3 linked regions of the Coturnix japonica genome follow. The protein of the gene in region 2 interacts with the protein of the main gene of each other region in a pairwise test. Links are inferred from orthologs where the notes say so. Each region holds a gene or a part of one and is shown on either strand. Other genes may lie near its edges. The genes, in order: EEF1A2, ABTB1 and CUL3.

Region 1 (2,995 bases), on a different chromosome or scaffold from region 2:
GCACCACGGGACCAGCCTTTTAGGGAACATGGACAGTGACGTGGGCACGTCTCAGGGCTTTAAATATCCCTTCGCTCTCTGTCCTGCTGGCAGCACTGGGCAGCCCTGCAGAGCCATTTCCAGTCCTTTCCATACTTTCCAAAGAACACGTGCATTGCAGAAATCAGCCATGTTGAGTGTTGCTCCCTTGCTTTTAGGAAGCATTTTAATGCAGGCTTTTGTTTGCAACAGAGATGAGGGATGGTGGGCAGCTCTGCATCCTCCTCCACCCCAGCTGGGGGAAAGACAGGGTTTTGCCAAGGGATTAGGCAGGTCCTTAGGAAGCAGAGACACTATGGGAAGGGTGGAAGTGAAGGCAATAGAGTTGGTGTGGAATAGTGGATGGATCCCACCAGCTTCTTTTCCAGGTTTTTTTCTCATAATGCTTCTTCACCTTGATCTAAAGGTGCATTTTCCACAAATCTCCCATTGACACAAGGTGTAGAATGTCCCATTCATCCAAATAGCCATCCTGTCCCCTCATGCAGTGAGGATGATGAGTCAATTGAAAGCCATTGGAGATGCCCTGCTGCCCATCACATGCTTCGTGGGTGACGTTCTGCTCTGATCTCTCCTTGTCCTTGCAGGAATTGGCACAGTTCCTGTGGGCCGAGTGGAGACCGGCATCCTGCGACCTGGTATGGTGGTCACCTTTGCACCTGTGAACATCACCACTGAAGTGAAGTCGGTGGAGATGCACCACGAGGCACTGAGCGAGGCCCTGCCTGGAGACAACGTTGGCTTCAACGTGAAGAATGTCTCTGTCAAGGACATCCGCCGTGGGAATGTCTGTGGGGACAGCAAGTCAGACCCGCCGCAGGAGGCAGCACAGTTCACGTCTCAGGTCAGCTGATTAGAGTTCTATTCTGTTCCATTCCACTTTTGCTCTGCTTCCACTCCATTCCATTCCACTCTACTCTATACCCTTCCACTCCACTCCATTCCATTTTGTCCCCAACATCCAGCAGCTCACAGCCTTGCACAGCTGACACTGAGGAGATAAAACCTAGGGGAGCAGAATACCCACCAGGGAAAGATGCACATTCTAGAGGTTGCCTGGGGTTTAAGCCTTGGGTTTGCAATTTGCACACTGGTGCATGTGAAAATGGTTGCTCCCTCTCCCAAATGCAGCTGGCTCTGGTGGAGAGCAGGACTAGGTAATAACTCACAGTGAGGTACCTGCACCCATGTCCTTCTGGGTGCTGAATAAATAAATAATAGCTTAAGTAACACTTTAAACAAAAGAAGGATTCTGCCATGAAAGCCAATTAGCTCTTCTCTGTGTGTGTAGCAGGAGATGGCATTGATTTCCAAACCTTGCAGGTCCTTGCTGGCACCGAGCTATGCAAGACACCATAGCCGAGTCCCTTTGGATCTTGTTGTGTCCCATAGGTGATCATCCTGAACCACCCTGGGCAGATCAGTGCTGGATACTCACCTGTCATCGACTGCCACACCGCACACATCGCCTGCAAGTTCGCTGAGCTGAAGGAGAAGATCGACCGACGCTCTGGCAAGAAGCTGGAGGATGGCCCCAAGTTCCTGAAATCTGGAGACGCTGCCATCGTGGATATGATTCCTGGCAAACCCATGTGTGTGGAGAGCTTCTCCCAGTACCCACCCCTTGGTAAGGGAATGGCTCCTGCGTTGTGTCCCATGGAAGAGCATGGAGGCTGCTTGGGTGCAGACCTCACGCTGGTCATACTGAACCTCCCACTGATCAGATGGGGGGCAGAGGGAGGTGAATGTGTTCCATTGCTGCTCCATCTGCAAAATCTGATGCATGAGCTGGGTTAGGGTGGGTGAGACAGGCTATCTCCTGGGCTGGGTTTTCCCTCTGGGAATCACTGCAACCCAACAGTGGCTATGCAGGAGTGTTTCTCAGCTTCCTGACACAAAACTGATCAGGGGAAGAATCAGAACCTTTCAGGGGCTGGCACAGTCATGTCACTCACATCCTCCTCCATTCCCCAGGCCGCTTTGCTGTCCGTGACATGCGGCAGACCGTGGCTGTGGGCGTCATCAAGAACGTGGAGAAGAAGAGTGGCGGGGCTGGCAAAGTCACCAAGTCTGCCCAGAAGGCCCAGAAAGCTGGGAAATGAATTGTGGGCTCCCAGTGCGTAGCGCAGAAACCATCCCTGACACCAGGACGCTGCCACCGTCTCCCCCCGGCGCATGTGTGCACATCAGCTTGTAAGAGTTTATATGTCAACGACTGGATGCTCACCATTAAGGTCCAGTGGAAATTCTTTAAAAGGAAAAGCATGTTCCAGCGTTTGTGAGGCTTCATGTTAATTTTACCAATAAAACTGGTACAACATCCACAGTGGGAAAAAAGAAAATAATAACAAACAAAACAAACCAACCAACAACAACCAAACCAAACCAACCAACCCCAAAGGTGTGGAGCTCTGTGTGTGTGTGTGTCATTGAGAGGGGCTGGTTTCTTGGGGTCTGTGTGGGAGAGATGTTGGGATGGCCATAGCCAGGGATGGGAGCATCCATGGGCACCCAACACCAGCCATTCCCTGGCTCTCACCAGGTTTATGGGCTCATTTCATTGACATAAAGCAGGGACTGCTCTTGCAGTGGAGGTTTTGATATTCTCCTTAACCTGCTCAACTCTCTAATATCAATTAACAGGGCCCTTAATTATTATACTTTCCATTCTGAATAAGCTGGAGTTAACCCCTTAATGTTATTCCACTTAAAGGGAGAAAACAGCAACCCCATGCGTCCTTGAAAAGCTAGCGATATCACTTTTATACTATTTAATAATGTTGGGAGAAGTGTCCAAAGATTTCCTTCCCCCACCTGCAGCAGATCCCCCAAAAGCCTTTCTCACCCAAAAGAAGCCATAAGCAGAGGGCAGAGGTGCCCAATGGCTGCCCAGAGCCCCAGAATTCAAGGTGTCCACCCAGGATTGTGTCCTGGTCCCACTGCAAAAGTGTAGAGC
Region 2 (3,654 bases):
GCCTCATCTTTCAGCGTGAGGTTACACTTGTTCCAAGAAGCTAAGATTTGCTACCTCACCAGTCCCCGCTCGGTGCACAGCAGTTTGGCATATGATTCACATTCCCATCTTCCAGTGTCTACCCTAACAGCTTCATTCAAGAAGATTTAACAGGTTTATTCAAAAGGGCTCCAAATTCTCTCAGAAAAATAAAAGACCACCACAACAGCAGTATGCGTGACTGCTACCATGGGTTTTCTAGCTTAGGGTGAGAAAAGACTTTAAGCCAATAAGCTGTCATCCCAGAATCTTTTACCATGACCGAAAACATGGTGAGGAACAGTTCTGAAAACACCAGACTGGAGGACAACCTTGAAGTTATTTTCTGGCACCACCTCCTGGCCTGAAGCAGTTCAGCACTCAACATGCCTACAACACAGCATCTGATTTCTTGATGGAAGTTTTACTGAAGTTTAACTTCTGCTCAGAAAAAATAATCAGCAAGTAATCAAATCATTCAGAGTGCACTGCTCAGATCTGTCAGACTGAAAATGTCTTGTACGGGAAGCTGGGCTTTCAATAGGCATGGAAACTGGAACAAAGTACAAACTTGGAAGAGCTGTGGATTGCTCGCATTCTTCTCTTTGCCAGCAGAAAGGATACGTTGGCTACTTGTGTATCCAAACGTGTCTGCAAGTCAGAGCCACCCAAACTGTGCTACGGCAGAGGGACAGACAGCAGCCACCCAGCCAAATATACACATACAGTAAATGATTTACCTGTGTATAGATATTGCAGCAGAGAGCCAAAGGCTGTGGGATTAATCTAAAACAAAATATAAGAACGTTACCTTGAGAATTACCAGGAATTTAATAACAAGCTTGAAACTTGAATGGATACAAACATGATCCTGCTCAGAAAAAAGCCACACACATACCACATCTAAATGGCACCTCAGACACAGCAGTCTGAACACCCAATTTCCTTGCTCCCTGCATAAGTAATGATGCCACTCCATCTGGTTTACACAGCTTTTCAAATATACTGGCTGCTACTGATCCATGTGCCCAGGAGACAGGACCAAACTAACAGAGGTGCTCCAAAGACAGTTTTACTGCAGACTCTGTAAAATCCAGTCTTTTACTGGTATCAAACATTTCCAGCTCTTCTTTTTAATTTGAAGTGCAGGCTGTTCTTACACAAAGAGAAAGGAGAGACGCTAAGTAATGCCCTGAGAAACTGGAAATATGTTTTCCACAAGAGGCTTTGCACTGCTGCAATTAAGCTATAGAAACATATGCCAGAGTATTGGTGATTAATGGATGGAATGCACTTAACAGCCTATTTAGTTCTTTCTGTAAATGCAACAAAAGGGACTCAATTAGTGCCAATTATGGAGGTGATGTCTTCACTACAGACCACCTGTCCACCAGGAATTAAGACAAATTCAACTCATCCCACAGAGGAGCTGTGACACAGCTGGCAGATGGTAACAGCTACCTGCTACTGCAATTAATTAAGCTATATCTGAGCCGATGATAGAGGGAACAAAGGCAAAGTATGCAGTCAACATGCCTTTTGTCATCTGAACAAGATGTTATTTTATGGAGAGAGTGCCTTCACAAGCCTTTCTCCTTACCTAGGGTCACACTGAGCTCCAAGAGCTACACAGTATGGAGATTAACCCTCAAATCATCCTTCCCATTCACTTTTCTCATACAGCCAAAATAAGAAAAGAAAGAAAAGGCAACAATAACAGCCATGCTCACCAGTGGGTGCTTCAGCGCTATCATGCTCTTTCCCTTCCACTTGGTCTCAAACATTTCTGAAAAGTAGGCACTGCGAGCACTGAGAATGCAGCGGTGGGCACAGAAGGATTTGCCATGAACAATGAAAACGATGTCACTTTGATAACCCTGCTCCAGCAACCTGCAGGGAACAAGAAGAGAGGAAAACTGTTGCAGAATTAAAAAGGAGAGAATGGAGCAAAGCTAGTGGGAGACATGGCACAACTGGGCTCTAAAAATGAACAACAGGTCACAGAGCGCAGGGGAAAAAAGGTTTAAAAGACTGCTTTGTCTAGATGCCTCTTATCTAATATGATGCACACGCTTTCACAAAAGAATTACCCCACCACCAGATAAGGTGCAATTTTCCTCCTCTCAGGCTGCTGTCAACGTGCATGCCCTAACCATGCAGCAAACAGGAAAGGACTTGAGATGACACACCCTTAGATGACGGAAGGATGTTACAACCACGCAGCACAGATTACCACATAAGAGATGAAGCCCTGTTTATGTTTGCACACCCATAACTTCCCTCATTATTTAAAAGGAGAAATACAAGATTGCTACTTAAAAGACTTCTGGCATCCATTATCAGTGTTTCCCGATACACATCACCTCTTGGGTTTCTGTTTTCACAAACATCAACAAAAGGTCAAATGAGGCAGAAGACAGGCATTATACTCCCTTTAGAGAGCAGGACTGATGTCCAGAAAGGTGTGGGATTATACAAGCAGCTGATATCAAAGCAGAGTCTTGAATGCTGACCTTAATTTTCTGCCACTAGAACATCCTTCCTACTAACGTCTTGCCCAAAACAAAACAGAAACAGTTGTGTTTATTTTTCACCCCCTACTGTTGTCTTTTGTATCAATCTTAATGCAAGGTCTGTTCAGAATGAGAAGTGGAAAACAGGACATTTTGGTTTTCATGTAAACAGAAAGAAAGAACAGAGCAACCTCCCTGTAAGAGAGCCTAAAGAAGTCCCAAATTGAGTATTGCAGAAATGAGACACCTCTTATCACTGCTGGAAACCTCAGTTTGTAGGTTTGTAGGCTGTTACTGCTTTAGGCCTGAAAATGAATTTTAGCTGATATTTATCCTAAATTGCTGCTGTGGTTTTAGTGATCTGATTTTAACAGTCAAGGATGACATTCTAACACTTCTGCATTACAAAGACCAGCTTTCCACTGTCTGTGGAGTTTGTACCTAGGTTAGTAGATGCTATATCTGAAATGTTTTGTGTATCTGGAAGTCAACCCTTAGTGCATGGAGGAATATCGCTTAGAAAGCCCTACATGCCCAGGAATACGATAGGGTTCTGATTAGCTGACTTTCAAATCACCATTTAACAGAGGGCTTGAATTTCTAAGTTAGCAGCTAAGGAAGGATGACAAAACGCATGGCAAACGGAGCTATTCCATCTGCTTACCGCTGCAGGAAGACATCATAGTAGTCTCTTTTCATGCACTTTGCTGTGATCTGCTTGTACTCCTTCAGCAGACGTCGGATGGCATCACTCAACGCCCCATACAAACAACGTTCCCCATCAAATGTGTTTGCTTCACATTTTGCGCCTACAAAATGGCAACAGGTGCATGTCAGCAGGCAGCTACATCTTCCACGTGTCTCTGAATGATCACTAAACAAGTGTGTTACTTGGCTGGTGACGTCTTTCTCTGTCACCTCTTATGCTACTCTGCTTTATTATGAAAATTCAACTCCCCCTACACTTGCATCACCTAATGCTGTTCTTCCACCACTTCATCCCTTTCTGAAGACACCGTGACTCATTTATGCTGATTTTTGTAATAAGTGTCTCAGCATGATTCCAGCAGTGTTCTGAAAAGAATCTCACTGGAGAGAGCATGACCACCTACTGGACTTTTAG
Region 3 (3,654 bases), on a different chromosome or scaffold from region 2:
AATAAAACCATTGCCTTATCCAAGATAGTTTCTACTTCTTGCTCTGTTAGCTGTGGAAGAAATAATAAGACTGGTTTTAGTCTTCCAGGATGAATGTCATATATAAGCTGCATACTTTAAGCAATTCACAGCAAGTATATGGTGTAAGAGTGGCCTAGAAGGAAAATAACAAAACTGCTCTGCCATATGAACAACAGAGCCCAAAGAACAGTCCACAAATCCAGAAAAAGGGAGAAAATAACCATCAAAAAATGTAGGAAGAAGCAACGGTGAGGGAGACAGGAGCAACAACTGGTTAAAACTCCTGATAAAACAGTGAAATTTTCCTGATGACCATACATATTGAAGCATTAAAAAAAAAGAACTGCAAAGAAGCACAACTACAAGCCAGCATCAGCAACTAAAGCTGGACATGGAAAGTCAGCTTAGAACTAAGATTTTTACATTTTTAGACTGATTTTGCAAAGCCTGTCTTGTGCCACAAAAAATACAATGATTACTTATCTTTATAAACAATAGGAATTGCTTATTTGACTGGCTAACCAAGTGAATTACTTTGCAAGAGAATCATTAAGTATTGGGAATAACTACTGAACTGTAAATATACTTAAGGAACTGATCAGGCTTCCAAAAAAGAGAACTGCAGAACTTAATACAATCTAATTTCATTTCCAAGAGAGCGAGATGGAGGTCAAGCTACACATCCTGAGATATCCTTGTGCACTTTATATAAGTTTAGCCCTAAAGTGCAACGGGCTCAGGTGTGTGTTACAGCTTCTTTCTTTGTTGGAAAAAGGCAATGGTGCTATTTACCTTCATATAAAAATCATTCTCAGAAAATCACCTTTGTTTCATCTGATCCAAATTTGCACAGAAAACAGTACGACCTTTTAATTTAATTTATACTTACTCCCTTGACTCCTTTTTTCAGCTTATCATCAATAAATAATGAGAGGTACTCTGGAGACCTAGAGTTGAGGTTGAGGAAATATTCAAAGTCACCCGCAATAGTCTGTTTGAAGAGTCGGTCATTGTTGAAAGATTCTTGGAGAAAGCGGTCAAACCTACTCTTCAAATCCAGTAAACCCTTAAAAAAAAGTACAAACATTTTTACTGATTTGAAACTTTAAGTTGTGAAAACAGAAGTAACAAATGATGTAAAGCACACCACCTGAACAACCCGGTGTTGAACAGGAGAAGCTGTTAGTACCTTAAATCACAATAGGATTTCAACATCCCTTCCATTATTTCAAGGAGTTTTAAATTCAACCCCCTGGAAATGCTTTTGCAATCATGTCACCAATGATGCTGAGGGTTTGGCAATGTCACATTGCAGAAGCAGTACTGAACTATGGAGACTTTTTCTTGATAGTACAATGTATCTTCCCTGTCTATCTTCTTACTGGTATTAAAGTTCTTGAAAGCTTCAGGTTAGCATGACTAAAAGGATTAAGTTGGTTTCTCTACTCATTTTTCTTTTCTTCTATCAAGTTAATGGGAGAATAAATATTTTTAGAGGTTTAGCATTAATCAAATATCGATTCCTTCTTAGAACATCTTCATGAGATACTGGGGGCAAATACTAATTGGGCTGTGGATGACAAAGCACATGCAACATGGCCGTAAGCCTTCTTCAGCTTCACCAGGTACTCAACTTTGTAGCAAGATATATTGATAGCATCTTTATAATTAAATATTTAACTTTTCCCCAGCTTTTAAGTCTCTTAAGATACTCCCCTTGGGTCAAACAGAATTCTAAAAGAGTGAAAATTACTTCAGACACCTATTTTACATATTACTTGCTTTTTTTGTTTTGTTTTGTTTTTAATAAATCGCACTACCACAAAAACACAACAGCCCAGAATCTTTATAGGTAAGGAAGTTCATACAGTATTTTCTTCTTTTTAACAATCACTGGGGAATCATTCATGTCCAAATTAGCTAAGAAGTTTGCTTCAGCACTGCCAGACAACTAGCAGTTTGAACAAAAATGTTTCTATACTCAAATGGCTTTTTGTAATAGTAACCAGTTCTAGTAAATTTATTGTTTTCCAACAAAGTATCAGAGATAATAGATACACAACATTAAATGCTTCTTTTAAAGACCAGACAAAAGGACTGCAGCTACACATTTGTAAAAAATGAACATATTTAACAAACCCACATTTTGATACCAAGTGTAGAACATTTTCAGCTATCAGATGTTTACTTAAATTTCAATGAACTCTGGAAGAAATTAGAGCTATATTCTCAGAGACGATGGGAGGAAAGAAAAGATGGCAAAACTCCTGAAGCACATTTTATGGTCTTGGTAAATTAATGCTAAACAACATCTTAGCGAAATGGAGAACAACAAAACACCTCCTAATACACATAAATGTTACACCTCTCAGGGAGACCAAGAATGAAGCTAGTAATTAAACTGTGAGCGAGAGGTGAATGTTGTAAACCATAAGAATCTTGCTATGAAATTCCATCCTGAACATCAATAGGCAACACTGCACAAAATTACATTAAACAGTTGCTAAGGAGCTTCTTAGGATAAAATTCAGTCTGGAGGTAAATACAATTTACAATTAACCAAAAAGTTTCAAGGTCTTATATAACTGGTTTGAATATTTTAATCAAGTAGATACCAAAAAACCACTAATTATGAGCTTGTACTTCCCAAGCCACTTAGGAGTTCTAAACATTTCCAAAATTAAAAATGTGCACATTTGAAATAGAAGTATAAAAGTAGTTTATTAATAAATAATTAACCCTTCTGAGTCAACGTTAAGAGGTTTCTCATATTAATCATGTTACTCTGGAGAATATGGGAAAGATGAAGGAAAGAAAGTTTTAAAATATTTAACTACCTGAATGTAGTCAACTGGATTCTTTCCTTCTCCCTCTTCAGAAACTAGAGCTTTGCCTTGCTCTCTCAGGTACGAGCTCATGCACTCACACATTGTCTTCAGACCGTTCGGCACACGACTAAACAACTTGTACATGCAAGCAAGGTCTGCAGAAAAGAATGAGATGATATGCATGATGCCCTCTGTAACTCATCCATTTCACAGCAAAAGACAACAAACAGCAGAAGAGTTCACTCATTCGAGAGACAAAAGCATCCTGTAACAGCTTAGGTACTGGATGGAAACTTTTGCCCCCTTTTCTTTACTTTCACCAAAATCCCTTTTATTTGTGCTATTATAAGAATGTATCTTCTAAGTCTACCATCCCAAAATCAAATATGATGTTAAAACAAATAAGACAATATGAATGAGATACTTTTATAAAGCAAAAAACAAACCCACAAAACCAGTAAAAACATGAGTTTAATTTGCATTTGTTTAGCTGAACTTAATTTATACTGTCTTAAAGGAATAACTGCATAAATTCTCACTACTTTGTTTCATATACCTAAAATCAGGAGAACTGACTTAGCTTAAAGATGGCTTTTGAAGAGGAAGCCTTGTACACCTCTTATGTAAAAAACTTCACAGCTATATTAAACCAATGCCTATAAATGTTATATTAATTCTTGTATGTTGTAAATGCCCTTCAATATCCTTGTCCTCTCACCCTGAAGCCTATCTTAATTGGATATTAATGAAAAAAGGTTAAGTATAGTATCATCTTTCCATACAGAAATGCTCTTTTCTTACAGCT

The links.
Region 1: the proteins of ABTB1 (region 2) and EEF1A2 interact in binary tests that used the Homo sapiens proteins (3 or more experiments, as listed by UniProt). The two-hybrid records come from large-scale screens. The link is inferred for Coturnix japonica from reciprocal best matches to the Homo sapiens genes ABTB1 and EEF1A2.
Region 3: the proteins of ABTB1 (region 2) and CUL3 interact in binary tests that used the Homo sapiens proteins (3 or more experiments, as listed by UniProt). The two-hybrid records come from large-scale screens. The link is inferred for Coturnix japonica from reciprocal best matches to the Homo sapiens genes ABTB1 and CUL3.

The regions. Positions count from the first base shown.
Region 1 is NC_029535.1:8,081,611-8,084,605, reverse strand, and holds the end of EEF1A2 (elongation factor 1-alpha 2), read left to right. Parts: intron 1-626; coding exon 627-883; intron 884-1,431; coding exon 1,432-1,666; intron 1,667-2,013; coding exon 2,014-2,141; 3' UTR 2,142-2,363; downstream 2,364-2,995. UniProt on the Homo sapiens protein: Translation elongation factor that catalyzes the GTP-dependent binding of aminoacyl-tRNA (aa-tRNA) to the A-site of ribosomes during the elongation phase of protein synthesis.
Region 2 is NC_029527.1:7,315,283-7,318,936, forward strand, and holds part of ABTB1 (ankyrin repeat and BTB/POZ domain-containing protein 1), read right to left. Parts: intron 3,341-3,654; coding exon 3,196-3,340; intron 1,909-3,195; coding exon 1,749-1,908; intron 805-1,748; coding exon 759-804; intron 1-758. UniProt on the Homo sapiens protein: May act as a mediator of the PTEN growth-suppressive signaling pathway. May play a role in developmental processes.
Region 3 is NC_029524.1:6,974,510-6,978,163, forward strand, and holds part of CUL3 (cullin-3), read right to left. Parts: intron 3,005-3,654; coding exon 2,859-3,004; intron 1,088-2,858; coding exon 911-1,087; intron 51-910; coding exon 1-50. UniProt on the Homo sapiens protein: Core component of multiple cullin-RING-based BCR (BTB-CUL3-RBX1) E3 ubiquitin-protein ligase complexes which mediate the ubiquitination and subsequent proteasomal degradation of target proteins.